3 linked regions of the Pelodiscus sinensis genome follow. The protein of the gene in region 3 purifies or fractionates together with the protein of the main gene of each other region. This does not show direct contact. Links are inferred from orthologs where the notes say so. Each region holds a gene or a part of one and is shown on either strand. Other genes may lie near its edges.

Region 1 (9,798 bases), on a different chromosome or scaffold from region 3:
GGGATCCGAGGAGGAAATGCAATTGAGAGCGTGACCTATGCAAATGAGTGCTCCGTTTGCATTTCCTCTTGCAGAAGTGGCTTGTAGTATAGATGCAGCTTGAGACACAAAAAATCAAATTCAACTCTAGCAGACACAGTTTCCATTGAAATCCCTGGGTGTGCCACAGGCTTGCACTAAATGTAGCCCAAAGTGGTTAGGCAAAATGCCAAAGGACACAGAAGTGGTTATTGACAGAGCTGATGTTAAAATACAGAGGTTTCTGGCTTCTCACCCCATTTTCAGTTTCACATTAGTGGTGTTGTTACCACTACTGAAACTTGATTGGTATTTGCAGAGGGAAGAGGGAAGCTTAAATGGTCAAGACAAGAGTAATTTTTTGGAAAAGAAATATAATTGAAAACTTCTTCACCAGAATGCACGGATTCACCCTGCCTTTAAACAGTTTATTTTGTAATACTATGGGAAATATCACAATAATTTTTGCACTCTCATCATAGCCATGTTGATCCCAGAATATTAGTAAGACAAGGTGGGTGAGGTAATATCTTTCAGTGGCCCCTCTTCTGTTGGTCCAATAAAAGCTATTAATGACCTCAGCCATGAGAAAAATGGTTCTATGAAAAATAGTGCTGGGAATGAGAAGGCAAGCATCAAAGTTAGGGTGGAAAGCAATCTGTTCATTGCTAGTCATTAGCTGGGATGGACTTGCATGGTCAACAAGAGTCAACCAGATGTGTGACTATAATAACGAAAGTTCTGCTGCTGTTTCATAACTAAATGACTATGAGACACAGTCGCCTCCTGTCATGACCTTGCATCTGTTTGTTCCTTTATGTAACAAAGTCCTTTCTCTTTTTTTAATGAAAATGCAGGGTGATTAAATCAGCAACGGGCAACCTAGGTTAGTGAATAGGTTGTGTGAGTGGCCCTCCTTCCTCTCTGTGGGCCACAAGATTGTCATAACCAAGATGGTCTCCCAGGATACATAGTTTGGCTAACTGCATTTGCGTACTTAGAATTTGTGCAATGTGCCAATTGAACAGTAGCAGTGCTTTGATTGGATGTAGAGGGAGCACACGGCTTTCACAGTCAATGTTGTGTGCAGTCAGCTCCCACTTCACTTCATGTACCCTTGCTTTACATGTGTACCACTTTAGTAATACTCAGGGCCAGATTAAGACCTTTAGAGGCCCTAAGCACTGAAAAGATTATGGTGCCCCCAAAATAAAAACAATACTATACCATCAAATCTCATTTTTTGGTGCCCCTGCTTTGCTGGTGCCCTAAGCACATGCTTAGTCTGCCTATTGAGTAATCCATACTGGTCGGGGAAAAAACAGTGACATTTGGCAATCTTGTGTGTGGGTAATGGTACACAATAACTCAAAGGTCACACACAGATGGACTGCATGCAACTTATGGGCCACAGGTTTCCATTGCTGTAAATGGAACTCATAAATCATTGAAGAGACTCCATAAACTGCAATGGTTCTAGTTTAGTGAAGCTAGTAAATATCTTACACCTAGACGCTACACTATATTCCAAACTAACTTTTCTAAAAGTTAGGAACAGATATTGCTTTGTTTCCTGTGCTATATACACTGTGCCTTTTAAATTCTAAAACCGAATTTGATTATTTTAAAAGTGTGATCTTTCATTTCTAAGACTACCTTGTTATTAGTTCGATCTGGTGACCGGTCTCACAGAAGTTTGCAGCACTTTAGAGAGTTTTTTGGTTCCTTTCATGATTATTTTTAGATGAGGTTGTGCTATATTTTTCCCTGCTTTACATTAGGAGACAGCAAGTGCCATGTTGCTGCAATCTATGTCAATGCAAGTCTGTATCTGCATCTTATATTTAGTGCAAATCTATCTACCATCTCTGATTTATGTTCTTACAAAGAGGGTGGTATGTAGCTGGGAGTACCACAATTTCTACTTGTTTAGGTATCATAGGCAGCTGTAGTTGTTTTCTTCCTGTTGGAGTGAGAAGATGATCAGGGCTTAGAATCCAGTCTTGGGTTACATTATTGGCTGTGTCACAGATTCCCTACTGCAAGTCACTTCATCTCTCTGGGCCTCAGTTTCCCCTCTGTAAAAGGGGACAATAATACCTAGCACAAAGCAGTATTGTGAAGACAGATTTAAAAAACATCCAATTCCTGACTTCCATTATCACATTTCTGTGTACAGTACAAAGTTGAGAAATTCGGGAGAGTTATCAAGATGATTTTGTGGCTTACACACCTAGGCTACATCTACACTGCAGGCTTTTTGTGCAAGACCAGCTGTTCTTGCACAAAAACTTGCAGAGTGTCTACACTGCACATGCGTTCTTGAGCAAGTAAATTTACAGTAAAGCCTTGGAACAGAGGGCTTCTTGCACAAAAGCTATTCCTCTCCTCATGAGGAATAAGTCCTTTTGTGCAAGAGCTCTTGTGCGAGAAGGCAGCATGGATGGGCAACAGGGGTTTCTTGTGCAAGAAACTCCTATGGCTAAAATGGCCATCAGAGCTTTCTTGCGCAAGAGAGCGTCTACACTTCCATGGATGTTCCTTGTGCAAAAGCAAATCTCTTGCGCAAAAGCACAAGGCAGTGTGGACGCGCTCTTGCACAAGAATTTTTGCACAAGAACTCTTGCGCAGTACAGTTCTTGTGCAAGAAGCCTGAAGTGTAGACGTAGCCCAAGTGTAACAGAATCTTGTGCTGTGCATACACATATGTATATAGGTCTGGGGGGAGATATTTAGGTCTCCCTGCTTTTTGCTGCAGATCTCATTTAAAGACCTCAAACATTTTTATCCACAAATACCCATGAAATGAAAACTGGGACATGATGTACCGCTCCAAATAGCACTTAGATACCCTAGTAACTGGACACTAGATAAATTACATAAAAAATAGCAGTTAAAGGTAAAAGAACTATGGTTTTATGAATAAAACCATGTGTAGTGGGGACTTGAAAAGTCATAGCGGTAGAAACTCCAGCCCATTTTTGGTGCCATTTAAAAATAGGAATAGACCTGAACTAAAATTTTGGATAAACTACAGCAAATTGTGTGGGATTCAGATCCAAGTGAGAATTTTGCAGCTGGACTCTTCCTGTAATGGGATAAATGAAACCTCTGGTTCCAAACACTGGAAAGACTTCGTACTTGAATTCAAATATTGTGACTTGGGTTTATCTCTGAATGTAGAACTCCATGACTTTTGAGATACCGCTAATCGTGTTCCTTTTTTGTTCCTTGAGCCCTAGTCTAGACAACATGTGGTAAACACACTTTAATAGAAAAAGTTAATTTGATGGGAATTCTCTTTGGTTTTTCAAGGTTACTTCCACACTTTACGAGTCCCTTGATTATTTTGCAATGAAGCAAAATGAAGATAAAGAGGAGGACAACAAACATTCTGTTGCTTTTTCATCCAATGCAGCAGATTAGTAAATCTCATGACTTACAGCATCTGGGAAATCCAGAAGATGTGAGGAAGACAACAAGGACCCTACACCCATTTTGACAGTCCAGGGCTGAAAGTTCTTATCATTAATGCGATATAGATAAAACTAGCAAGGCCACAGAGTATCATAGCATAATTTGCTTCTTGATCTTGCAGTATACAACTCAAACCCAGTGAAGTCTCTTTGCTGTCCCTGGCACACCACTGTGACAGCAAAGCTGGTATGGTACCAGTAGTAAAGTTGGTTCAATATAATGGGGGAAGAGTATTTGTGTTATTGACTCATGCCAAATTCCAGGAATCTTTTGTTGGTGGTGTTTTAAAAGTTTGATATCTCCCTGTTTTGCTATTTACCTGGGAGTTTTTTGTGATGTAGCGGCTTTTCTCTCCCCCACTTTCCACATCCTAGTGTGCAGGAGCATGATACACAATCATACTATGAGGATTTGCCAAACTAAATCTCATTGAACTATTAAACATGCTGCTTCAGGCAATGGAGAGTACATGATGGTTTACAGCAGCGGTTCTCAAACTTTTTGAGCTCCGGAGACCTTTACATGAATAAAAATGTATGTGGAGCCCCAGCGATCCACTGATTGTCTGTGTTGTACCTATTGATGTTTCTAGTTTGTCAGCCTCATGGAGCCCCTGGAGATGTCTCCTCCGTAGACCACAGTTTGAGAAACACTGGTTTACAGGAAGGTGGAGAAAAACCGCACACTGATAATCACCAAGACAGTTGGGCAATACTTTGAATAGGATGAAATCCTTCCTGGCCTCTGTGGTGATCACCAGATGCACTGAAAAATTAGATTTCATTACCCTATCTTAGCATAGGTGCGAAATAAATTACAGTTTGAATATTATACTTAATAAAAGCTAATTATAACCCACTTTGGAGGGATAAGATTTTGGATGCTGAAGGCTGATCTTATACTGTTTTTTTTCCCTCTCTGACAACCTCAAAAATAATCACAAAAATTGTTCAAAAACTAAAGACAAGATTAAAAATGGACTTTCTATAAGCCTAGTAGAAGACAAACATTAACAGCAAACAAATGCAGCATCTTAATATTTTAGGCTTATTGAAAACAGAGTAAGTGGCCAAAACATCAGTGTGTTTGTGTAGCAAATCTTTTGTCTGCTGCTAAGGCTCATTCTGTGGATTGTTTTCTCAAAAGCAGGCACAGGTAAGCAAATGTTATCATTATGTAAGAGGGTACTGATCTAGCGGGACCCTGAGGGTGCCAACAAACACAGACTGGCTTTTTCAAACTGCTCAGCAACAGCTGAGACACTTTAAATGTTATTCTGCACCTTTTCAATGAAAAGGGAATGGTTTCCAAGTATTTTCTTTGTGTTGATGTTTGTGGTAAAGAGAGAGAGAGAAAGTCATTTGGTAACAGTGCATCGCTCAATCACTAAACCTAAATCGACCTGTATTTAACTTACATGTAAATAAAACAAGATTGTCTTATTTATTTCTCTGTTATATTTTAGTCATTTAAATCACAAGCACTGGTGTCTCTCATTCTTTTCATAATTTTAATCATTACAGGTTTGTTCTCTTCAGTGTAGGATAAAACCGTCATAAAAGTGTCATGAAGAACTTTTCTTCTATAGATCACAGATGTGACTGGTGACCCATCAGATTGGCCACTGTTCTGTGCTGTTTGCTTGTAGTTAATTAATTAGTTAGTTTATTTTGTTCTCCAGTGTTCTTAATATCACACTGCAGAATCTACTGGAAATTGTACATAGGTTGCAGGAGGAGAGATGGAAGAAAGGAGAAGTATTTTAATACATTTGTGTATAGCTGATGACACACAGAATTGCTACATAAATCACACAGATCTAGGGACTTAGAGCTAGACATTTTATGAGCTCCAGAAACACAGTTCTCTAACAGCTGAGTTAAAATACATTTCCTTTAGCTGCTGGTAAAAGTACAGTTGTCTTATTCTTTCCATGATCATTCAATCTCTCCTCTCTCTCTCTCTCTCTCTCTCTCTCTCAGAGAGAGTACTAGTATCTTACAAAGGGAAGGGGAAAAATGAAATTACTTTGTTCACAGCTCTGCATTTTCAGGGCTGAAATGTCCTGTCTAGTAATTGGGAAGTAGCATCTTTGCAAATGCCTGTTGGTCTAGTCAGGGTGAGTGTGTGAATTAGTCCAGAGGTCATAACGTCCTAGGAAAGTTTTATATCAAGTTCAGTGAAAGGAGTTTAGAAGAAATATACAATTTGTAAAGCTGAAGGCAACTTTAGTATCAAGACTTAGTGCTTGATCTAAGAAGCTGCCTAAGTAATAAATGGCTAGCAACAAATCTATTTCCCCAAATACCAGTGATTAGAACTGCATGTAAAATACTTACATCTCTACATATATTTTAGATTTGTGTGTCTGCCTGTCTGTGAGCTTGTCTGTGTGTGTGTGTCTGTCTGTTCAAGAACTCCTTCTAAATCAGTGTTTCTTAAACCTTTTAAGACCAAGGACCAAACAATTTTTTTTATGAGGAACACCAAGGATTTTTTGTTGAGGAAAAAAAAAGGTGATCTGCCCCTTTAAGGATGGCTATTTTAAATTCTGTTCTCTGCAGGACACCTCCGACTGCCTCGCAGCACACCGGTGTGCCACGGAACACAGTTTAAGAAACCCTGTTCTAAACAGTAAGAGCTAGGAGCACCAAATTTGGAGCGCAGCTTCCTCTTATCCTAACTTAAAGCACAGTCAGGGTTTACTTATGCCAAGAAAATGGGAAGTGCTGGGAATGGAAAGGGAGGGGCACCGAGGACGGACATGATACTCAGAATGGCCACTGGGGGCAGTGAGCCTGCAGGGGAGAGCAATGCTGCAAAGAGACCACTTGGGAGGCAGATGCACCACCAAGAGAGTGGCCAGAAGGGCTGGGGCTCCACCGCCTTGCTTGTGACCAGATCAGGTAAGTAGTCTCCCTGCCCCGAATCCTTCTCCTCTCCCCCAGCCCTTGCCCACAGCATGTGGCCGAGGGAGGTCCGTGATGGCTGGGAGGAGCAGGGGGGTGGGGTGGAAAGAAGGCCCTACTGGCTGAGACAGCTGGGGGGATGGAGGGAGGAGAGAGACGAAAAGGCCCTAACAGCTGGGGGAGGGAGAGAAAGCACCACTGGATGGGACCCTCTGCCCTGAACCTCTCTGCATCTCTTACCCCACCATATACATCCCCACCCTCTTGCCTTGCCTGCCCCTACATCTCCAAGGCTCTGCCCTGACTCTTGCACCCCCACAATGCCAGCACCCCTCCCTGAAGAACCCGGGCAATGCTGGGTAAGTCTTTTAGTACTTAATAAGGAACGGATACCCTCTGAGCTGCAGGTCAGCAACATGTCTGAATCGTTTTCTTGTTGGAAACTTTAGTAAGTATTTAATTATATGATAGCCTCACCAGTAAGGATTTCAGGATCTTCCCCTTGCTAACAGCTGCCTGCATTACTATGTATGACCAACATTTCTATGGTCTAAATTTTAAAGGGTACGCCCAGTTGTCCTGACCTACTTTTATCCATGAGTTGACTGTGGCAAGAAGCCAGCTGATTTATTTTCAGAGCTCACACCCTTTGCCTGAGCCCTGCTCAGTTAGCAAATATTTGATATATGTACTGCATTTCTTTCTTATGGGATTTTATGTGATGAAAGATTGTGCAATCCCTTTTCAGGACTTGTCACAGCATGTACATATCTTATGTTGCTTGTTGATTTTTTCCCACTGCTGCCATGTTCACTATGGATTTGCTTTAAAACAGAACAATATAATTAATCTCCTGCCATATTCTGACACCCAACATGATATTAATGCTGGCTCAATCAAACTCATAGGCCTAATAATAGAACTTTTCAAACTCTAAGAGAATCTATGAGGATTGATTTCAGCCACCATTTTGGCTTCTCCCCTCCTGAGCAAGGTATGCCTGGAGCCACATTGCAACAAGTTTAATTTGTCTGATTCAAAGCACTTCTCTGCCTAGAAGTAAAAAAAACAAAAAACCAAAAAAAAAAACCCCCAAAATGTATTAAACATCAGAGCAGCTATGCTGTCATGGACTCATGGGAGAATGCTGCAAAATCTCACATTTATTCTGTGGAACTGATCTACTTGTAGAGTCTTATTAATGTGATTGTTTAGTTCAGCCACAAAAATGGAGGGGAGGGGGGCGGAAAATCATTCTCCATGGTGGTTACAGTAGCAGCCCTGATAGCAGCACCATGACCTTGGCTCACCACTTTCTTCCCCTTTGCACAGTGACCAGCTAATGATGCAGTTTAAGCCTCGCTACCTAGACCAGTAGTCTCCAACCTTTTTAGGCAAAAGATCACTTTTTGAATTTAAGTCAATCCAGGACCTACCTCATACCTAGACCATCCTGCCCTGCTCTTTCTCTGAGGCCCTGTGCCTGCCCCACCCCTTCACGAAGGCCACCCCCTGCTCACTCTGTGGAGATTGGGTACAGAGGGGACACCATGACCTCTTACCCCTTCCTCTGTCTCCCCCACCCTGCCCAGCAAGCAGGAGGCTCCTGGGGGCAGCTCCAGGGCAGAGGGAAGGAGCAGCACCGTAGTGGAGGGAGGAGCAGCTGAAGTGCCAGCACTTGGTAGCCTTCTGGCCAAACCAGTTAGGATCACCCCTCAGAGGCTCCAAGATCTACCAGTAGATCCCGATCTACTGGAAGATGACCACTGACCTAGACAATGCTTGAGCACCAGAGCCTTTGTCCAGTGGTACTTGTGGCAGGAAGGTATGAAGCAGATGTTCCTCCTTCTGTGCTTTGTGGGGGCATTGACACAGATGATCTGTACTAGAAGGGGCTGTGTCAGTACCAGTGATGAAGACAAAGGCCTGGTTTGCACACAAGTTGAATTGGTTTAACTAAAATTGATTTAAAAACTGATTTTATTTAAATCGGTGGAAACCTCTGTTGGACACAATTAACTGCTTTTATCTGTCCAACTTGGGCCTGTACATTTACCAGAGTATGCTAAACGCCTATGTCAGGTTTCAAATCAATTTAGTAGTGTCCACAATGATTGAGTTAATACTATAGCAGCTTAAAAATACACGATTAGTTAAACAGGTGCAACATTGGGTGTGGGCCAGACCCAAATACAAAGTCTGTTTAATGCAAACAAGAGAGGGTAATAATTCTTGCCTTGCTCCCAGCAATAACAATAAAAATAAAACAATAAAATTTAATAAAAATGAAAGTTAAATCAATGCAGTAGCCCAGAATCAACAATTTGCTTGAGCCAAATGGAATTTGAAAGTGAAGAATTCTTATACCCCTCTTCTAAATCTAAACCTGTGATTTTCAACGTACTCGGAGGAAAGAAATGGAAAAACATCAAAATTATGACTACATGGTCTGTTTGTTTCACTGAACTAGAGAGGCTGTTAAATTCTCTAACCTCTTGCTGCTCTCTGCAAGGGGGAAGTGGGATTTTACACCCATGAATGATTTCCCATACCATAACCACTTGAAAATCAGATTCCAACTACTTTGTGAGGCCACATCATCCTTTAAGTGGGCAGGGAAAGCATCAATGAGTACAGTACAATGAAAAAGCAGCTATGACTCTTGTACCCTTCTATGCCCTTGGCTGATAATGGGGGTGGCAGTTATAAATAATTTAAGAAATTCATCAAGTGTTGTAGCAATCACCAGTGGAAAGTGAACTGCAAAGCACTTCAAATCTATTTTGCTTCACCAATAGGTGCTGAACGTCCCCATTGAGCAGGATAAGAAATATATACACAAGTAAATCAGTGTTAAAAACTTAAGAAACCAAACACCAGTTACGGGGCTATGGTCACTATATTCTGACTTCACGAGCCAAAGGACTTTGTGGGCAATAGTTGTGTCCTTGCATTTGAATTGGAGCAGAGTTATTCAGTAGGACTCTGGGAGTAGTTACAAACACAGTTGGCTGGACTACGAGTGGTACTAAATTGACTTCCGTGAGAGTTGGACCCATTCCTGTCAGCTTTGAATTTATCCTGTTATTTGTTTTTGTGCATTTCATTCAGGCAGCCCAGTAGGGCGGTGACTGTTTGTAAAATGAACTTCAGACTCCAAACTAAACCTTTGTTTAGTGAACCTCTACCAGTTTGGTTTTGCAAAGAGCAGGCAAATGTTCTTAAAGGTATTTTAAAATTCTCTTCCCAATCAACAGAAGACTGTGTAGCAATCTCTGCAATCAACAGAAGACTGTGTAGCAAGCTAACAGTCTCACTGAAAATCTCATACTGTGAGAGCTGAGGTTTCCTGAGGAAGTTGACAGCAGAAAGAGTCACAACAGGAATAACATTC
Region 2 (10,129 bases), on a different chromosome or scaffold from region 3:
CGGGGAACAGCGCAGTGAATGGCAAACCTCTGCCGCTTTGTAAGGAGGCAGAGGAAGCCCCACGCAGCTACCCGCAACTGGCCAGCTGGAGAAACCCAGCCACTGGCTGCAAGCCCCCTCCCCTGTCCTTCCCTTCCCCAGAGCCAAACACCTCCCCTCCCTGCTATAACCCAGTTCCCTTTCTCCCCCAACCTTATGTCTTGGTCCCAGCTGCTAACAAGTGCAGGCTGGAGCTGCGAGCGCACGTGCGCTTGAAACGCAACCCCCACCTTTTCCATTATTTTCAATGGGAAAATTGACCCCGCATAACACGTTTTCACTTAGCATGATCATTTTCTTAAACGTATCTACTGTGTTAAATGAGCAGGGCTCAACAAATTAGTCAATCTACTCGCCCAGGATGAGTAGATTTTAAGCCGGCACGGCGCCGCAGCGTGATCAGCGCAGGCGTAGCACGGTCTGCGCATGCGCAGAGTGCCAAACTGCACGGCTGGCAAGCAGGGCTCGCTGCCGCTTGTCAAGCCCTGTAAATGAGGAATTACTGTACAGGCAGTCCCCGGGTTACGTACAAGATAGGGACTATAGGTTTTTTCTTAAGTTGAATTTGTATGTAAGTCGGAACTGGCTCCAGATTCAGTCGCTGCTGAAACTGATCAGCGGCTGACTAAAGGAAGCCCTAGGCAGAGTTGCTCTGCCCCCCGGCTTCCTGGAATCAGCCGCTGATCAGTTTCAACAGCGGCTGAATCTGGACTCCTGGGACAGAACAGCTGGGGCACTGCCGGGTAGGTCCCCGCAGGACCAACCCGGCAGCACCCCAGCTGCTCTACCCCAGGCGTCACGCAACAAAAGCCTGGTCTGCTGGGGGGTGGGGGGGGCGCACTAGTTGCGCCCCCTCCCCCCCCCCCCCCCCCAACAGACCAGGGAGACCCGAGCAAAGCCGCGGAGGCGCAGAGGTCCCGCCGCCTCTGCGGCTTTGCTCCGGGGCAAAGGAGCAAAGCCGCATGGGTAGCGGGGTCCCGCTGCCTGTGCGGCTTTGCTCGGGTCTCCCTGCTGTGCTGGGGAGTCCCCCCCAGCACACCAGGGAGACCCGGAGCAGCTTTTCTCGCCCCGGAGGACGCGGTGGCAGGACAGCTGCGCTCTGGGCGGTCCCGCCGCCCGCGAGCTCTGGGGCGAGAAAAGCCCCGTTCGTAAGTGCGGATCCGACATAAGCCTGATCCGCGTAAGTCGGGGACTGCCTGTACTTCTTTCTATGCAATTTAAAGGAGACACTATACAATACCAGACATGTCAAATGGTAGTCCCAAATTCATAAAGAAGATGATTAAAACATGTGTTTCCTGAGTACATAGGTAGTACTACCTCAAATGCAAGAAAATAAACTTAAGAAATGCAATTAAACACAGGGTTTAAGCTACTGGAACAGTATTTCAAGGATAAGAGACATCTCCAGTATACGAGTACCTTTAAATAGTTGGGTGGGAGCTTAAGTAACTGTTTGATTAGATGGACAGACATCTTTCAGTTGTTCTGTAAGGGTTTTCATAATGCTATATCAGAGTCATCCATATGGGTAAAAATTCCCACTCAACAAAATCCACTATGGTCGGTTAGCCCCATTTAATTTTCCTAGGACCTTACTTAGGCAGCTATTCCAGTGTACATCTCGACTACAAAAAATCCCTGTCTTCAAAATCCCAGTCTTCTTCTCCCCCATTGAACACTAAAAAAGCCTTTCCAAAAAGATGATATAAGCTGACTATGAAGTCATACTCTTGTCTCTATCTAGAAAAAGCTTGTACAATGAGCAACTCAGATCCTTTTTACAATTAAAACCAGATATTTATACAAAAATTTGTTAAAAGCAACACAGTCATGTTGAAATGCAAGTTAGTTAGGGCAGGGTTTCCCAAAGTGTGCTCTGTGGAGCCCTGGGGTCCAGCAGCTGCTTGAGAAAATATTAACAACAATTGTATGACCCTGTTATTTTGTCACTAATTTTCTGATATATATTCCCCCCCCTTCAGAAAATTAAGAAATAAACAAGAAATAAAAACAGAATTTCTAAACTTTGTCTGTCTATCTGGGTACCTATTAAATTAAAAATCATTAAATTTTAAGGCTCCACAAAATTTTCAGGACCCATGGAGGCTCCCTGGCTGAGAAAGTTTGGGAAACCCTGAGTTAAGGTATTGTGGCTAGCTATTGCAGCTGTCAGGAAGTTAAATCATCTTTCATACTCAGTGTAGGAACTATAATATTTAAGAACCAAGAGGGGAAATTAAGAAATAAGTCTGGCTCTTGGATTTCCAGATCTTTGGAAGAGCCATTTAATCACAGCTGTTTACTACAATACAAAAAAAAATCCCACCACACCCACACACGCAACACAAAAATTCACCCCCATAAAAACCTTATTAACAACTACCACCCATTACTATATGTAACGGAACAGATGCCTGAACATAAAAGGAAAAGCTCTAATATTCTTCCGTCCTGTTCATAGGATTCATCTATCAGTGGAAAATAGGCAGAGTCAAGATTTCCTCAATTGTTTACATTTAATTCAAAAGCCAGGTAGCTACAGAATACCAAACAAAATCCATAAAAATTGAAGTCTGGTAGGAAAAAAACTATACAACCATTATCTAAATTGCCATTAACATTCAATCTTGAATGCTAATTGCTGAACAATTTAAAATATATCCATCTTAGGCAAAATATATTAGAAGTTATTGAAATCTGTTACAACCTATTTGTTTCTAAAGCCTTTCAGTTGCTAAGCATCACACAAAACTTTTGAAGAGCACCATTTCCAGATATTTCAGAGGCAGATGGCTCCATGGGAGCGGGTACATGCACAGGGAGGCGGCTCTGTGGGAGCTGGTACACACGGAGAGCCAGTTTAAAAGCCAGCTCCCTGCATGCACCAGCTCTCGCCACCCCACCTATGCAGCCGCGACAGGTGAGGGGAAGGACTGTGTGTAACTGTGCATGTTAACTCATGAGCCCAGGCTCATGGATTAACCATGTACACATTCACATCCCTAACAGGAACCTTATACTACGAAAGTGTAGAGGCAGTTTCCACTAATAATTCATCATGAAAAATAACTGATACTTGAAAAGCTTGTACAAAAAAAGCTTGTAATTCTGATTTATAAATCAGCATGGAAAGACTGGGAGATGTTTTGCATAGTGTCAGATACATTACATCTTCAAGGTGCTGTGCAAACATTCTTTAGAGGGTTGTTGCGAGAATTTATGAAAAATATCATTATTCCCATTTCACTGATGGGGAAAACAGACAAGTTAGTCCCTCAGTCTCAATGGCCATTACGTGTCATGTGACAGATATTTTGGAAAACAAGTTAACTAGTGTTGCAATCTATGGGGCAAATTCAATTCTAACAAACAGCAGGAGGACCAGGGATATCAGCTGAATTGCACTTCTACCATATACAAATCGGATCCCAGAATATACTGGAATGACAATGTTTCTACTTGCTTTCCTACTTCGCTAAAATTATCTCAGAGGGGTAGCCATGTCAGTCCATAACTTCAAAAACAATGAGTGGTCTTGTGGCACTACTGATTTGGCTAAAATGACGTTCAGTAAAACCCAGTTTTGGAGGAAATACTTCAGCAACACCCTTGCTAAGTTTAACCAACAGCAATCAGATGTAGTCACTGTGAAGAAGTTTGTTCTTACCTTCTGCTACATCATCATCTACAGCCCCTTTCACCTGAGAAAAACACCACTGAATGTCATTCCCTCCTCCTCCAGCTCCTAGAGAAAGCAAAACAAATAATTGATTCCAGTAAACGGAGATGGTAGCCACCGCTGGCAAGTGACACAATTTAGTCAGTACTGGACACACCTACAACAATCAAAATTTCTTATGCAAAGACATAGGTTCCAAAACTTGATTACAAACTGTCTCTCTGCAACTCCACCACCCACCGCCTCCCCGCCCTGACAATGCTTTTGCCCGTGATTTGCCCAATATTTAAAGCAACATCTGTCAACAGTAATGATAGAATGACAAAAGTTGCTCTTTGTAACTGATGAAAAAACTCACAGAACTATCAAAACAAGCACGGCTAGTGTTAATAAAACTACGTTATGTTAAAAATGAGCAACAGCTGGTATATTTCACAACACTTTTTTAATATAAAAACTTCAGTGCCCTCTAAAACATAGAGCACTTCACTTACAAGGGACTTAAATTTCAAAGTAAAATATTAGGTGCGAGAATGGCCCTAACAAGTTTTCCAAATATTTCAAATAATTAAATGTTGGCACTTTATAAAAAAAAAAGGAAACAATTTTTCTTTTGCAAAATACTTTATACCGCTTAAGTACTTCAGACTAGAGGAAACAAGTTTTAAAGCAAGTTTATAAACCTCTTCCCTCCTCTGTCGTAATAGTAGCTAAAGAAATTGTCAGGCTTAGATTTTTTTAAAAGCAAGGAATCTGTGCAGCAAACTGAACAATCTGCCTTAAGCTAACAGCAAGTATAACTACCGTAGAAAATGGGTCGAAGAGAAAACTTCAGGAACATTACCACCTCCGCAGAAGGTAGTGATTCATTTGAACCTCACCACCCAAAAGCACACAAAAAAAATCCACCCCTTTCTTTTGCATTTCATTCTTAGCAAATCACTGGGCTGGGGTCCAGACAGGAAGAGAAATTGAAACAAGTTTGCTCTGTCTGCAAGAGGATATCAAAATGGAAATTCCTTCTCAACCCACAACCAAAAAAGAACAGATGTATCTTGTGAGGCATTAATGTGATGCAACATTTTTGGGGAACAAGAGGGGACATGCAGGAAGGATCCTTCCCTACCCCACCCACACCAAGTTGAGGAACAAATTAACTTAAGTTCAAGTTAGCAACAGCAGGATGATCCCTCTCTCCATGAGGGATCAAGAGGCTGCTCGGGCAAAGAGGGCATGGGGAGGCGGAGGAATAAACCAAAAAGGATTAGATTGTAATATCTTTTTGGAGCTTCTTACAAAGTCCAAGAATTAGGAAAGACAACGTGAACTAGAATCAGCCAAGGTGATGGGGAAATCTTATCATGATATCAATCTACACCAGTGTTTCTCAACCAGTGGTACGAGTACCCTTAAGGGTACACAAGAGAAGTCTGGAGGGGGGTACGTCAACACAACTGAAATTTGGAGAAAACTGAATTTTTTTAAATTTTACAGTGCTTTATTATTTTTGTACTTTTTACACCCAAAAATTTCATTGCCCGCCTGGCTACGATTAAGTTGTGTAAATAAATGTCCTGCAATGGTAGAAAAAAAAGTGTGTCTGAAATCTGTAGGTACTGGGGGTACTTATACATGTATCAAAAACAAATATTGCAGTTCATATTGTAAAGATCAGCGTTTCTCAACCTTTTTTTTTTTAAGTACCCCTTTAAAAAAATATAACTGTAGGTACTGGGCGTACTTTTTTTTTTTTTAAAGGGGTACTTAAAAAAAAGGTTGAGAAACGCTGATCTATACAATATGAACCGCAATATTTGTTTTTGATACATGTATAGGGAAAGTATCCCACTTTCAGCATCTTTCACCAACCATCCAAAACCCCTATCCATCCAATTTCTCCTCTCCCCCCTCCCCCCATCTGTATTTGACTCTTACTTTTAACACCATGGAAAAATTTTGAGAATGTCTGTTTGCAAGAAAAAACATTATATGCTGCAAACTGTATTTTATTTTTTATGCAACTTGCTACATTAAAGGCCTTGTTTCAGCAGATTCAAAAGGGTGGAGTGACATAGCCTGGTGTGTGTGCGCGTGTGGGAAGCAAGGTGCAAACCTAAATACTGCCTCTCATGCTGCTCTAGAAAATGCATGGCACTGAAGAGGCAATTAATTTGCAGAAGGGGGAAATGAACATATCACCACAAGAAAGAGACAGGGACATCCTATGCATGTGGATAATTTTTATCTTCCAAATTGCTCTTTAGGATGCAAGATAAACAACCTGAAAAATGGAGAATGAACATAAATCTCCAGAATTAAGAAAATTAGACATACAACCACCATGCATTATTGCACACGCTCAGAGAGACTTGAATTTTCTAAGAAACTACATCCTCTTCCCAATTTCACCTTTCTCTGCAGCTACCCACATAGCTGCACCCGACAGTAGGGTGCAACTGCACTCTAAACACAATCGCATCTGCACCCTACAGCCACTCTCCTGTACAGATCTGCACCCCCTTCAACACAACACATACGTGCAATTTCCTCGCAAAACCAGAAAGTCTGGGGAAGCCAAAAAAAAAGACACACCCAGCTTAGAAACCTCCTAACACGCTGAACTTCAGAAATACAAGGCTTTTTCCCCCAGACCTCCATCCACCTTCTTCCTTGTGAAACACAAATGTGTTGCAAGCAGGGAAGCAAAAGAGGGGAAGGAGCACAGATTTCTAGAAGGGGAAAAAAAAATAGGACAAGCGTATGCAATGCAAAGGGCACTTCAGGATTCAAGGTTTTAGGAATGCAAATTTTTTAAAAAGGAGGAAGAGAAACCGAGCCCACACTCCGAGGGAGGAATAGCCACCAGAGAGAGGGAAGGAGGAAAAGGAGACCGAGGTGCCCAGCAAGTCCATGCCACCTCCACGCACAGCAGGCAGCAGCAGCTCAGCGTGGCTGGCTGATTCAAGGCCATTTTAGCGGCCTCGCCTGCCCCTCCACAGACCTCCCCCCGCCCCCTGGGCTCTGTGGGCAGCGGGGGCCGGCCCCCGGGAAGGAGGGGGCTCGCTCCCCCTTACCTGCCATGTTGGGCTCCCGAGTGGCCGGGTCGGAGAGAGCGGCCTCCCGGCTCTCCAGGCGGCCCGCTGCGCCGGGCGGGTGGCGAGCGTGGAGGGAGGATGGCGGCAGATTGTCCCCCGGGGGGGGGGCGGTGCGAAGCCGGCTCCGTTCGGCTTCCCCCGCGCTCTTCGCGTCGGTCTTTCCTTGCCAGCCCGCCCCCCCCCCCTTCTCGTTCCAAGCTTCCAGTTTCAAAATGGCGCCGGCTGAGCTGGGGGGGTGACGTCACTCGGAGAGGGGTAGGGGCGGGGTGAGAACTCCAGAGAGAAGGGAGGGGACAGGAGGGGCGTCCGGGGAAGACGGTTGGTTCGGTTGCGTCCGCGCCTGCGGCTCTCGCTGGCGCCTCTCGGCGAACTCCTGCTCACCAGCCCCGTGCGCTGTGCTCACTGCACCCTGCACATCTGCCCAGCTGTGCCCCAGCTCCTGCCGGCTGGATCCTCGCTGCACCCGCACATCTGCCCAGCTGTGCCCCAGCTCCTGCCAGCTGGAGCCTCGCTGCACCCGCACATCTGCCCAGCTGTGCCCCAGCTCCTGCCGGCTGGAGCCTCGCTGCACCCGCACATCTGCCCAGCTGTGCCCCAGCTCCTGCCAGCTGGAGCCTCGCTGCACCCGCACATCTGCCCAGCTGTGCCCCAGCTCCTGCCGGCTGGATCCTCGCTGCACCCTGCACATCTGCCCAGCTGTGCCCCAGCTCCTGCCGGCTGGATCCTCGCTGCACCCGCACATCTGCCCAGCTGTGCCCCAGCTCCAGCCAGCTGGAGCCTCGCTGCACCCCCACATCTGCCCAGCTGTGCCCCAGCTCCTGCCAGCTGGAGCCTCGCTGCACCCGCACATCTGCCCAGCTGTGCCCCAGCTCCTGCCGGCTGAATCCTCGCTGCACCCGCACCTCTGCCCAGCTGTGCCCCAGCTCCTGCCGGCTGGAGCCTCACTGCACCCGCACATCTGCCCAGCTGTGCCCCAGCTCCTGCCGGCTGGATCCTCACTGCACCCGCACTTGTGTGCATTGCACCCGCACATTTGCCCAGTCGCACCCACTGCACCCGTGCTATCCCCACGGTTTGCCGGCTGCATCCTCACTGTGCCCGCTGTGCCCACTGCACCCCACCTCCTGGGTCCTCACTGCACCCACACATTTTCCCAGCTGTGCCCACTGCACCCCACCTCCTGCCAGCTGGGTCCTCACTGCACTCACACATCTCCCAAGCTGTGCCCACTGCACCCGCACTACCCCACCCCTGCCTGCTGCATCCCAGCCCATCCCAGCCACACATCTTCCCAGCTGTGCCCACTGCACTCAGACCTGTCCCCACTTCCTGCCAGCTGCATCCCAGCCAGGGGTGCTGGAACAATTTTTAGTGGGGGTGCTGACAGCTGTTGTACCAAATTGGAAACCCTGTGTATAATGGAAACCACTTCTAGCTAGGGGATGCTGCAGCACTCCTACACCCCTAGTTGCCACACCTATGGTCCTAGCCATTCCCACCCACTGTATTCACTATACCGGCACATCTGCCCAGCTGTGCCCACTGCATCTACATGCATCTCCACCTCTTGCTAGCTGCACCTCAGTAAGCTGCATTCACAAATCTCCCCAGCTCCTACCACTCTACACAGAACCTGCACATCTGCTCAGCCCTTCCCATCAACTGAATATCCATCAACTTCTCTGCTCCCTGTGACCACTGCACCACACCTCCTCCTAGCACCTGCCACAAACATTCATTTCTCCTACCCCCCTGCCCTGTCTCCATCAACTATGTTCCCTAACAGGGCATACCCACTTATTGCTGGGCACACTGCACCTCCACCTCTGATCAACCGCTGCTTGCTACTTCCCTGTGCCTGTCAGCACCAGCTGTGCTCATTTCTCTGGCCAGCACTTGCCATCTGTGCTGCACCCACAACTGTACCCAGGGTCCACTAGCTGCTGGAGAAAAGGTTCTGATTTGGGCTCCCTTTGATTCATGTTACAAATTAACACGGCGCTTTAAAGAATTAGCACCATATTCTCTAAAGAATTCGGGTATAAACCCCATCCTGGGGAGGTTGTGTGTTTTATTTGTGCTGTTAGATGTATCGCATTAAAAAAGGCCTGGAATAGATTTCAGCATCTGTGCCCGAGAAAGCCGCCTTCTCAGTGCACCAATCATTTCTGTCCTAAACTATTTGTCAAAGTATTTCTCAGCCCCATTCCTTATTTCAGCCAGATGTTGAGTCTTCTCTGTCTCTCTTCACTCCTCTGATGACATTCCTCATTCAACTTACCCAGTATTTCTCTGTTCTAGCCACACCCCCCGTTTGAATGCTCTCCCCTCGCCCCCACCTCAGGATGGTTTCCACGACATCTGTAGCCTTTTAGTTCATATTTTACTAGATAACCCTTCTCCGTTCTCATTGCTATTCCTTGCATATACCCAACCGTGCTCCTGAGCCATTTTTAGCCTACATCCACCTTTCATCCTGACAGTCTGTAAGATCTACAAAGAAAGACTTCCAGCTGAGACCAGCTTGGCACAGCTCCTGCCGGCTTGAAAAGGAGGAAGGCTCTCTTTTAGCTCACTAGGTCCCAGGTCAAGCCTCAGCCGCAATTAACATGCAGGACTCGGATAAATGACTCCATCTAATAAAGTTAGCACCTTGCAGAATTCGTCAGGTTTGCGTTAGAGAGATTAGCATAAATATTCCCTTTGCTTTCCATCAGCATGGGGTTCTCAGACCTCAACTTTCACTTTGAAATTCCAGTGCGAACAGATCTAAAAATTCAATGATTTTACATGGATTGAAATGAGAAATCAGACATCAGCCCCAAGAAGAAATTGGGCTGAGATTCAGGACATCTTATTGTAGTCCCAGTTCTACCCCACAAAAATCACTGTGTGATGTGGAGCAAGCTACTTAAGTTAAAATGTTCATTGATTTCGTGTTTCCAGCTTGAAACACTCGACTAAGGGCCTGATTTTCTTAATAGAGACCTCCCCACTATTCCTATATAGCACTAAAGGGTTGTATCCAGAGGTGAAACTAAGCGGATGTGCCCTGCCAGAGGCTCTGTGTGCACCCCTATTGCCCCTTCCCCCACAAGCCTCTTCATTCCTCCTTCTCTCTCCTTACCAGAGTCCCCTAATCTTTCTTACCATGATCCCCAATCCGCTGTCCTGTAATACCAGGGCTCAGTGTGCATCTCCCACTCCTAATTCCCTTTATGCCCCCCATTCTCCGGGAAAAAAATCAGGCCTCAAGAGCTAGATAAATACATGGAGGTTGGGTCCATCAATGGCTATTGGCCAGGATGGGTAG
Region 3 (9,917 bases):
GCACCCATGCCTGACTGAAATAATGTAGTGCTTCTTCAATACGGGTTTGCTCCAACATAGCTACATCACTATTAGCTTCACTTAAATCAGGTTAAGCTAAACCAATTTGTGGGTCTTGTGTTTTGAACTAATGCATCATGCATATGCACACTTGATCTGTCATCTCCTATTTTTTCCTTTGTCCTCCTGAACATAACTTCTTGTGTCATGCTCAAATCTATTTCTCTGATCAAATCTGTACTGCATGCAAAAACCTACCAAGAATGCAGCTGCCTCCTCTCACACATCTAGTACTGACTGATCTTACGGGGAGGTAAGATCACTATATCAAACATTGCTGAGAATACATACCAATTACTACATTTCTATTAACTTTCACATTACTTCACTTGAGTGCACAGATGCAAAATTAAGGTTGCAGTTATATGATTTCACACTTAATTTAGAACTAGTTTGCAACACTCCACATTCTGAACCACCTTTTCTTATGTACACATTCTGCTTCAGTCTAATTTGACCTTTATCTGTATTAGATTAATTTAATGACAAGTAAGTTTAAGGCCTGCAGCATTTCATTACAATTCCATTACGTAGGATCCCACACATAGGATGGATTCTGCGTGTAAACCAGGTTTATATACTTCACAGATACTGTATTTTTAAAGTAATCTCTATCAAAAAAATTTCCTACAGGATGACAGTGACATCATAACGTCACTCTGCATCCCACCTCACCCTTCCCTGGGGGCCCTGCCCCAGGAGCCTTACCCAAGTGACCACTCCGAGAAATGGGGGTGAGAGGACGGTGGCTCCGTACCCGCACGCCCCCCAAGGCCCATCCCCAGCCTGCCCAGCCCACTTGCCTGCCAGGTGTCTATGCTCTGTGTGCCCCGGCCCGGGCACAGAGCTTGGGGGCCACGACGCAGGTCTCCCCTAGAGCAAGCCACTCTGGCGTGTGCCAGTAACCTGACACCAGGCCACTGGCTCAGGCACGCTCTCCTGGGTCCACCACAAGCTGGGCAGGTCTTAGCCACACCATAGGTCTTGAGCAGGTCTTGGCCACTTTAAAGCGGCCACTCTGTGCTCTGAGCTCACTAAGGAGCAAAGTGCCCCAAGAAGTGCATTTGGAAAGGCTGGGCTGGGAGTAGGCTGTGGCTCCTGCTGCAGTGGCCGGGGCTGTGCTGCCCAGCACAGTGGTGTTCCTGGGGGTTGGGGCATGCAGCTTGACAAATTCACGGAAGGAGGCAGGGTGTGCGTAGCGAGGGAGCAAGGGGGAATAATGTGTGTGTGAGGATGGGTGGTGCAGTAAGGGGGAATGGTGGGGGTAAGAGGGATATAGGAATGGAGGCAGGGGGATGGGCAGTGGGGGGCGCAGAAGGGGAGGTGTTAGGGAAGGATGGGGGCGCAGGAATGGAGGAAGGAGGTATGGGTAGGGATAGAAAGTGTGGGGTTAGGAAGGATGGGTGAGTGCAGGAATGGAAGCAGGGGGATGGAGGTGTAGGAATGGAGGATGGAAGTGAGGAGTAGGGATGGAAGGAGGGGAGCGGGCTGTGGGGCATGGAGCTCCAGGATAAGGACTAGTGGCCCAGATTACTCCACCAGGCTCTCTTCCTGCCTGGCCCAAATCTGGTTCTCAGTAGGGCACAGGCATGTTAAGCTGGGAGCTCCCCCATGGTTCCATGGTTCTCCATCATGCCCTGTCCAAACTAGGGATATTAAATATTGGTTAACTGAATAGTCGATTAACCTCATGAATTCTTATCAGTTAGTCAACTATTCTATAGTCCCTGGGTGTGGGGGGGAGGAGGGGAGCAACCAGTCGCTTACATCTCTACAAACTTAAGATAGTCTTAAAATATAGGAGGTTAAATGTGAGATGAGCACAGAGCAACTCCAGAAATACACGTACGTGTTATTAGCTACACACTGAGTTTCAATGTTCTCCCTTCTAGAAGAATCACTGGAAGCCTCAGCAGATCAAGAACCCTTCCAATGTCTTGCGTGTACACATGTTGCAGAGCTGGTGGAACTCACTGGCCTGAATTTGAACAATGTACAGCAGTGGTCCCCAACCCAGTGCCTGCGGGCGCCATGGCGCCCGCTTAGTGACCAGGGCAAGCCCAAGCCATTCTTGCGCCCCGGGCACGCAGTGCATGCCTGGCCCGTACCCCGGGCACCCGGCAGCCCCAAAAGGTTGGAGTCCACTGATTTACAGTACTGGTACTTGTTCAGAATGTTAATTTCCTTTTCCATTAGTGAGAGTTAATAAGGTCCCTCTCCCTTGCAATTCAGCTAGCTGCACCTACTAACCAAACCCTATGCTTATAGATGTCTTGTTGTAGAAAGAAGTGATTGTGCAAAATAAATAAATAAAAGAGTGTACAACCTGGTTTAATCTCAAAATTTTGGAAACAGAAAACCTGCTACAAAAATTATGGGTAATATATAGGTTTAATTTGAGCTGGATCATGTGAAATACAACTGTTATTCATAACTTCACTCTGCCATTCACAGTCCTGGAATCACCCCCATCATGGTAGTAGCAATTCACAACGTGAACTATAAAAACAGCTTTCAAATTGAACACAGCATTCAAAGCCCTAACCAAAATGCAAATCTATTTAACCAAATGTAAACTTATTTCTACTGACCTTTAGTAAAGTTTTTAGAACGTACTTTAGTTCAGGCATTTTTTAAGCTAACTTGAGTCAAACTGAGTGTTAAGTTGTTTGGACTTTATATAATTTTAAGTTTTCATAAAACCGAACACAGATCTAATATCTGAATTACAATGAAAAGTTATGATTGACACAGCAGTGTCACTGAGACCAGATGACTGAAGACCAGAAAACAAATAGATTTATCTACTGCCTTATAAGTGAAACATTAACACTGTAACTCAACATGACTTAAAATTCCAACTTCCAAACTTGGGTCATCTTTTGTAGCAAGGAAAGGATTTAAAAAGCATTTGACTTGGTGCCTTTACTTCTTAAACTGCAGTTTAAGCCATAACTTGATTAAATTTCCTTTAATGCTTTGGATTTTCATAGAAGCACAGAAACGCAGGGTGGAAGGGACCTCAAGGTCACTAATATTGTGCACAGTTTTGAAGAGTGACCACTACTATGTGCCTTCAACAATTTTAACAGTCAAATTACCATTGGAGTTAAAAATGTAGTTCTGCCTCCTGTCTATTGATACTTGTATCATTTAAGATCACTGTGAGTGAAAACTTACAGCTTTTAATTGGTTTACTTTGTGCTTTTGACATACCGTAGTTTTGTTCAGTTTCCTTGTCTATGTGGATCATTCACATCACATCAAAGGAAAAGGTTTATTAAAAATAGGAAATATAACAATTAAATCCATGTAGAGGAACTGAACGTATTCATTTTTTTACAATGATTAATCAATGAGATCCACACATGCTGCTTCCATCAGATATTTAATATTTTAAAAATATATCTAACTACCTTTTTACCAAAGCAGACTAGTAGTATAATTATACATAATGCATAAAATAATTATGGTTTTCTGAAACTGGTATTGAATGGATAACTTGCATTTCTGAAAAGATGACTGTTTTTAATTTAGTACCCAGACAGGCTGATTCAGGGGAATGGGATATGAAGGAATCATTCTTCAAACTGAAGTACTGAAGCTGGCCCTAACACCTGAAGATACTACCCGGAATGCAAACGGGACAGCAGAATAAGGAACAATTTAGCCTTTTGGATTCAAAGCTGCAGTGCTTGATTTGTGCTGGGGCTTGCCAGGTTAGACACATCGTAGCCCCAGCACCCTTGCACTTGGCACCTCAGGTATGACAGTAAAATAATCGCCTGCTCCCTTGCACCTAATGGTTTGCGCCCCAGCCCCTCTGCAGTTACAAATGAGGCGCTGCAAAGCTGTTCGGCGTTGGGCCGTGACAAAGAGATCAGCCACCTGCTGACCGCTCCTCCTGAGCTGACCATCCCGAGACCCGCGCGGGGAGGAGTTGTTCTCCACCGCTTCGCTCCGCCACCAGCGCAAGCTGGCCCCAGGAGGGGGGGGGGGATCCTCAGCCACCGTGTCTTGCTAGCGCCGGTACCGGCAGCCGCAGAGGGGCAGGCAAGTGCAGGCTCCAAGGCAAACCCAGCGCCCCGTCGCCGGCTCGCGCCTGTCCGGCTGCGGCCGCCCCAGGGGGCCGGAGGAAGCTCGCTCTGCTGTCACGGTGACTGGGAGGGAGGCGAGCTCCAAGGGCGAGTCCCCCCCCCCCCCCAGCCGGACCCCGCGGGCGAGAGGCGGGGGGGCGGCTCCATCCCCGGCCCCGCGGCGGGACAAAGGGAGCCGCGGGCCGGCGGCGCGGATGGCTTGGGAGGGCAGGGCGCACCTGGTGCCACCTCCGTCCTCTCGGCTCCGGCCCCCGTGGCGGGGGGAGGGGAAGGGTCTGGCCCGGCCCCGCCTCCTCACGAGCCGGTGCCCGAGGGCGGCCCGGTCCCCCCCCGGCCCGGCCGCCTCACCTCGCTGCGCGTGATCCGGTGCCGCCCCAGCTTCACCACGGCGAAGTTGCCCTTCCCCAGCGTGCCCTCGATGTCGTAGAACCCGACGCGGACGGGCCCGGGCCCGCGGGGCAGCAGCGCGGGGGGCCGCCGGGGCTCGGCCATTACCATGCTGGGCTCGGGGGGCGGCGGCGGCTCGGTCCGTCTGCGGCCGTGCGGCGCCCTCCAGCCGCGCCGCCCCGCCCCCTCCCCCCCTGCTCCGCGCGTCACCGCGCGCGTCAGCGGAGGAGGGGTCTCGCCATGGCAACCGGAGCCACCGCCGCCGGAGGAGCAACGGCCCCCTGGGGCTGTTCCCTGCGTGGCGCCCCCTCCCCCGGCAGCGGGGCTCTCCTCAGAGCTGTCCCCAGGAGCGCGCCTCCCCTCCCCCCCCTCCGCGCCGGCTTGTGCCTGGGCGAGGCCATTCGGGGGGGGGGGGGAGACTAGGCTACCTACACGCTCCCCCCCCCCCAGCCCTAGTTAGCCCTGGCTGCCTCTGCTCCCACAGCTGCTCTACCCAGTGGGACTGAGGCCTGTGGGGGAGGGGTGCACAGAGGCTCCCCAGGGGTGCAGCGAGGGGGCACCCCATTCAGCAGTTATCGGGAAGGGGTCAAGGGGGGGCAATGCACCGTCCCAATGCTACCATATGCATTGCTGGCAGGACCCCCTCATTGCACCCCCCCGCCCTTCCCTCCACCTCTGTGCCTGTCACTTCCCTGGGCCTGCGCCCCCTTCCTTGGGGGCATGGAGCGAGCTGGGCCCCCAGACCTGCCCTGCTGCTGGGCCAGTCCCACCCTGCACCAGACCAAGGAGCTTCGGGGGATTAGGACACAATCAGATGCACACACATTGCCCAGCGCTCACCCCCCCTCAGGCGCCCCCGGCAGGGGCCACTTCGCCCCAGGCAGATGGCTTGAGGGCTGACAGAAGCCCGGCTCCCCGTGGGTAAAAGAGGCAAGGGAAGGTGATGCCTATACAGACTGGGGCCAGGAAGCAGGGGCCATGTGCCACTAGGGGCCTGTCCCTATGGGACGTGGGGTTGGCTCCCATGGCGGGCCTTGGGCAGCAGGGATGGGGCTGGGGAATTGCCTCTCCCAGTACTAGGTTCACCCACTACCCAGGCTCCAGACAGAGGCCAGGATGTCCAGTATTGTATTAGGCTAGCCTGGATGGGCACCACGCACTAGGTACTGTACAAACCTGTAACAGACATCATCCCTGCCCCACATAGTCTCATGAGTCCAATGTGCTATGTTACTCTCCCCTCTGCATCAGCAGTGGCTCATGTACTGATGTATTTACTGTGTGTACCTGTACTGAGGAAAGGTTTGCCAAAAATCATTAATTAGCAGAAAAAGGAAGCTACACTGTTTACTTCTCCACCCAAAGCCTCCAAGTTGGGCCTGTGCTTGCTCAGTCAGCAGGATGGGGATCCTCCACATTGACTAAATTCACACCTTAACAAAGGACAATGGGGAAACTGGTGTTCACCTTCAAAGCTACTATTTTCTGAAGCAAAATAACCTACTTCCCAATGACAGCAGCATTTCAACTGGGCGAGGATCACATCTGTAAGGAAATACCCCCAGTACATACACACCCCTCCTTGTCAGTAAGAGCACGAAGCTCTTGCGTTGGGCAGTGTTTCCAATGGGCCAGCTACGGCCCAACGGCGACATTGAAGGCTGTATTGGAGGCTTTGATTGCTGATGAAAAGTTCTGAAATACAACTTCAAAATAACATCCAGGGAAAAAATTGCAGCTGAGAGAACAGCCTTTCTGCAGATGGTTTTGCTACCCCGATTCACATCTTGTTCTGCTTCAAACAAAGTGATCCACCAAGTACTTTGCACACACTTTTACTTTTTTACAGTGACCTGTGTGATCTCAAAACAAAATATTGAGGAATTATATTCAAAGTCAACTTCACTAACGATCCAAGAGTATCAAATGTGAAGCTCATGTGCCCTCTAGTGGACAACTGCCCTATGTATATTAATAGATCACTGTAGGTGTTATAAATTTAAGGTGTCAAAGGAGATCTTCTGATTAATTTCTCTCCTCTGCACATATTACAAATTAGGATAAATCCAGCATATGAAGAGATCGCAGCAATGACACCGACAGTTGTCTGTGCTAAAAGATAAAATGAGTTGCGCTAAAAGATAAAATGAGTTGCTAGAGAAGTCTGGCCAAAGAAGGCTCAATAGTCCACTAATCCCCCACACTCATTCAAAACTAATTAACAGCTTCAAGCAAGAAGAAACCAAAGGCACCTACTTTCAAAGATAAAGTCAGAAGACAGGCACTTCTCCCAAGATTTTCAGAGCCAGTTGAATCCATACCTGAGGCAGGGAATCAGACTGAATCCCATACAAGGTGAAAGCGCCTTTGCAGTGGTCTTACCAGGGTAATCTTAGAACTGTTCTATCCACATATTTCAGGTCTTTGCACTGGTGCTGCAGTGAAATTTTCACCTTCATTAGTGAACTCCACTGCTAAAAATCAGACTGTGGATGTTTCAAGGACTGATGAGCAGTCTGGAATATGCTTCCCTAATTAAGAGATCATCATATTAGAGCATTCACTTACTAGGTGAAATGGGAAAGCTCTGGTAAGTACAATAGTGCAGTATAGAGTCACAGCAGTTCCCTAGAGAGAAAAAGTTAGTTCATTGCCACCAATATTTGTTGTTGACCTCTGCCAGTAGAGACAATGCAGACCCATTTGGTCCATCCTCACTGCCTGAAGAAACCAAGTTAATTGTGGTGTCAAATCTGCCACAAGTTGCGATAGCTTATGGTACATTGAGTCTTCATAGTGAAATAACAGCAAACTAAAATATTGTTAATATTTAAAGTGGTGGATTAGACATGGACCTGCAGTTCCTTTGTTCTAATCCTAGTTCAGCCAATGAGTTGCGTATTCTTGGGCAAGTTATATAACTCCCGTCCATCATCCCAAAAGGCACAGTGCCCAAGCAGTGAGGTTTTATTGATGGTTAATTGCTATACAGATCCAAACATGGAGAATGTGGGATACAAAGCATCAGAACTATATTTCTAAGTTGTTAGGCAGTAATATTCATAGGTATATACTTCAAGGAGAAAGTTGTGTGGGGGACTTTATTCTTAGCAAGGAGGCCACCTATGTGCCCTCCAAATTATAACCGAGTACTTGGAATCCTGTCTCTAACTCAAGACAAAGAGGAACAGAACTGACCAGCGGGGTAGAGAGATGCCCACATGTCTTGTTTTGATAGTTGAGATGACATACCTTTTCCTTAACTGAATCACACTTTTACCCAACTGACAATTGTGACACCAAAGAACAAAATAGATGAATTTTTTGCAACGAAACAGGGTTACAAAAAAGGCGAATGCAATTTTGGGCTGTTTACAGGAAGAGACCCTGTCACAAGACTGGGAATTAGTCATCCTCCACCAGGCCCTGATCCCACCATGTCTGAACCTTGGCATCACATCTTGTAGGCATCACATCATCTGTGAGCACTGTGTTCAAAAAAAAGAGAACAAAATATCTATACCTTGGCTAAGGGGAAGGACATAACCCTACCGTTAAAGAATGGAAACATCAATGGGAAGGCATTTTTTTAGTGTAGCAGTGCTGTATGTGTAGGAGTGATTGGATGAAAAAAGATTTTTTCTCCCTAATATGCAGCTTAATCAGAGCAATGTATTAGGCTACGGAACCCTCTCATCCCAAAAGCAATGGAAGTGCAATTGCTTGATGCTTAAAACAAGGCTGAACATAAGAACGGCTGTACTGGGTCAGACCAAAGGTCCATCTAGCCCAGTAGCCTGTCTGCCGACAGTGGCCAGCACCAGGTGCCCTAGAGAGGGTGGACCGAAGACAATGATCAGCGATTTGTCTCTTGCCATCCTTCTCCAGCCTCTGATAAACAGAGGCCAGGAACACCACTTCTATCCCCTGGCTAAGAGCCTTTTATGGACCTAACCTCCATGAAATTATCTAGCTTCTCTTTAAACTCTGTTATAGTCCTAGCCTTCACAGCCTCCTCTGGCAAGGAGTTCCACAGGTTGACTACACGCTGTTTGAAGAAGAATTTTCTTTTATTAGTTCTAAACCTGCCACCCATTAATTTCATTTGGTGTCCTCTGTTCTATGAAACAATCTTGTATTGGTTCCTGGGAGAGGGAAAGGATGATTTACCATCTAGCTTCTTGTTCTTAACTTGGATATTCTGTGTCTGTGAAATGGTTTGGAGCAGATTTATATTACTTTCATTAATTATAAGTGTGAAGGTGAGAGTGTTTCACTAGTTTCATCTTTGGTTTCGCTGGTGCCTGCCCTTTTCCAAATAACTTGGGTTGATTGCCCAAAGGTGAACTCAAACATATCTGACTGCAAGAAAGCACGTTTTCCATTAAGCTTTTGCCTCTGTCCCACAAGCAGCAGCTATGAGAGGAGTGCAGGAATCACATCTGTTAAACATCAAAGAAACTTTTTTTATCTCTGACACAAGCACCTGTCCTCTTTCCAGTCTGAAAGCAGCCTTAAACTTGAAGGAAAAGGGAACACTTTGGCACTGAAACATTTAACTTGTTCCTGCACCAATGGCTTGAAAGGTCTCCACAAATGGCATGCTAGATAGGCGGTGACAAGTTCAAGGAGACTTGTTCTTATCAGTTACTGTCACCACCATATTTAACATTTTGATTTCAGAATGAGGAAAGAACACAGCTGATGTGTTATTCGCTCCCCTTCCAGATAAAAAAAAATGAATGTAGGGAGCTTTAATATTTAGGCAAAATGTTTCAAAATTAGTTTACTGAAATTAACTACTTAAAACCATATTTCAACACCTAAATATCTGGCCTGAACTTCAGAGGTGCTGAATGCACTTAGAGACTTTCACTGACTTCAATGAGAGCTGCAAGTTGTTAGTTCTTTTAACAATAAGGACATTCATTTAGTTACCAAAATAGGGATGTAAGAGCATACACACCCAAGTTTTACTACGTTGCCTGAGCTTTGTACTCTCTTTACCTGTTTTTCAAGGACTCAAAGTTGCTTATGTTCTGGCTAAAAACAGAATATTTCAAGATCTGAAGAATAAAAAAATGAATACACATACAGCTGCTTACTATAATGCACTAATTCATTTAATGAATCCCAGGAAGTTAGCTATCACCAGTCAGTGGCTACCCCCTTCCTAGTGCCAATCATCAGCAATTGCCTAGCATTATCCACACTGGTAGTCAACTGGCAGGTTATCATTTTCTCACTAGGAAGTGGCCATATTTTGGCAAGGATTGAACTTGGACCCCTGAAGTCAATGACAGGCCACCAAATCCTGACCGGCAGGCACTCTCTCAGATTGCCAGCTATCCAAGACAGGCCCTATGTCTCTAT

The links.
Region 1: the proteins of SIK2 (region 3) and PPP2R2C purify together in Homo sapiens (affinity purification with mass spectrometry; 3 studies listed by BioGRID and IntAct, counting the BioPlex papers as one, with this or other methods). This does not show direct contact. The link is inferred for Pelodiscus sinensis from reciprocal best matches to the Homo sapiens genes SIK2 and PPP2R2C.
Region 2: the proteins of SIK2 (region 3) and PPP2R2A purify together in Homo sapiens (affinity purification with mass spectrometry; 3 studies listed by BioGRID and IntAct, with this or other methods). This does not show direct contact. The link is inferred for Pelodiscus sinensis from reciprocal best matches to the Homo sapiens genes SIK2 and PPP2R2A.

The regions. Positions count from the first base shown.
Region 1 is NC_134715.1:112,513,918-112,523,715, reverse strand, and holds the start of PPP2R2C (protein phosphatase 2, regulatory subunit B, gamma), read left to right. Parts: upstream 1-5,363; 5' UTR 5,364-6,214; coding exon 6,215-6,401; intron 6,402-9,798. Other genes in the region: uncharacterized protein LOC102462366, read left to right, coding at 3,334-3,444. UniProt on the Homo sapiens protein: The B regulatory subunit might modulate substrate selectivity and catalytic activity, and might also direct the localization of the catalytic enzyme to a particular subcellular compartment.
Region 2 is NC_134738.1:8,921,963-8,932,091, forward strand, and holds the start of PPP2R2A (serine/threonine-protein phosphatase 2A 55 kDa regulatory subunit B alpha isoform), read right to left. Parts: upstream 4,648-10,129; 5' UTR 4,563-4,647; coding exon 4,526-4,562; intron 3,788-4,525; coding exon 3,710-3,787; intron 1-3,709. UniProt on the Homo sapiens protein: Substrate-recognition subunit of protein phosphatase 2A (PP2A) that plays a key role in cell cycle by controlling mitosis entry and exit. Involved in chromosome clustering during late mitosis by mediating dephosphorylation of MKI67.
Region 3 is NC_134736.1:6,544,171-6,554,087, reverse strand, and holds the start of SIK2 (serine/threonine-protein kinase SIK2), read right to left. Parts: upstream 4,799-9,917; 5' UTR 4,656-4,798; coding exon 4,506-4,655; intron 4,270-4,505; exon of another isoform or gene 3,949-4,269; intron 1-3,948. UniProt on the Homo sapiens protein: Serine/threonine-protein kinase that plays a role in many biological processes such as fatty acid oxidation, autophagy, immune response or glucose metabolism.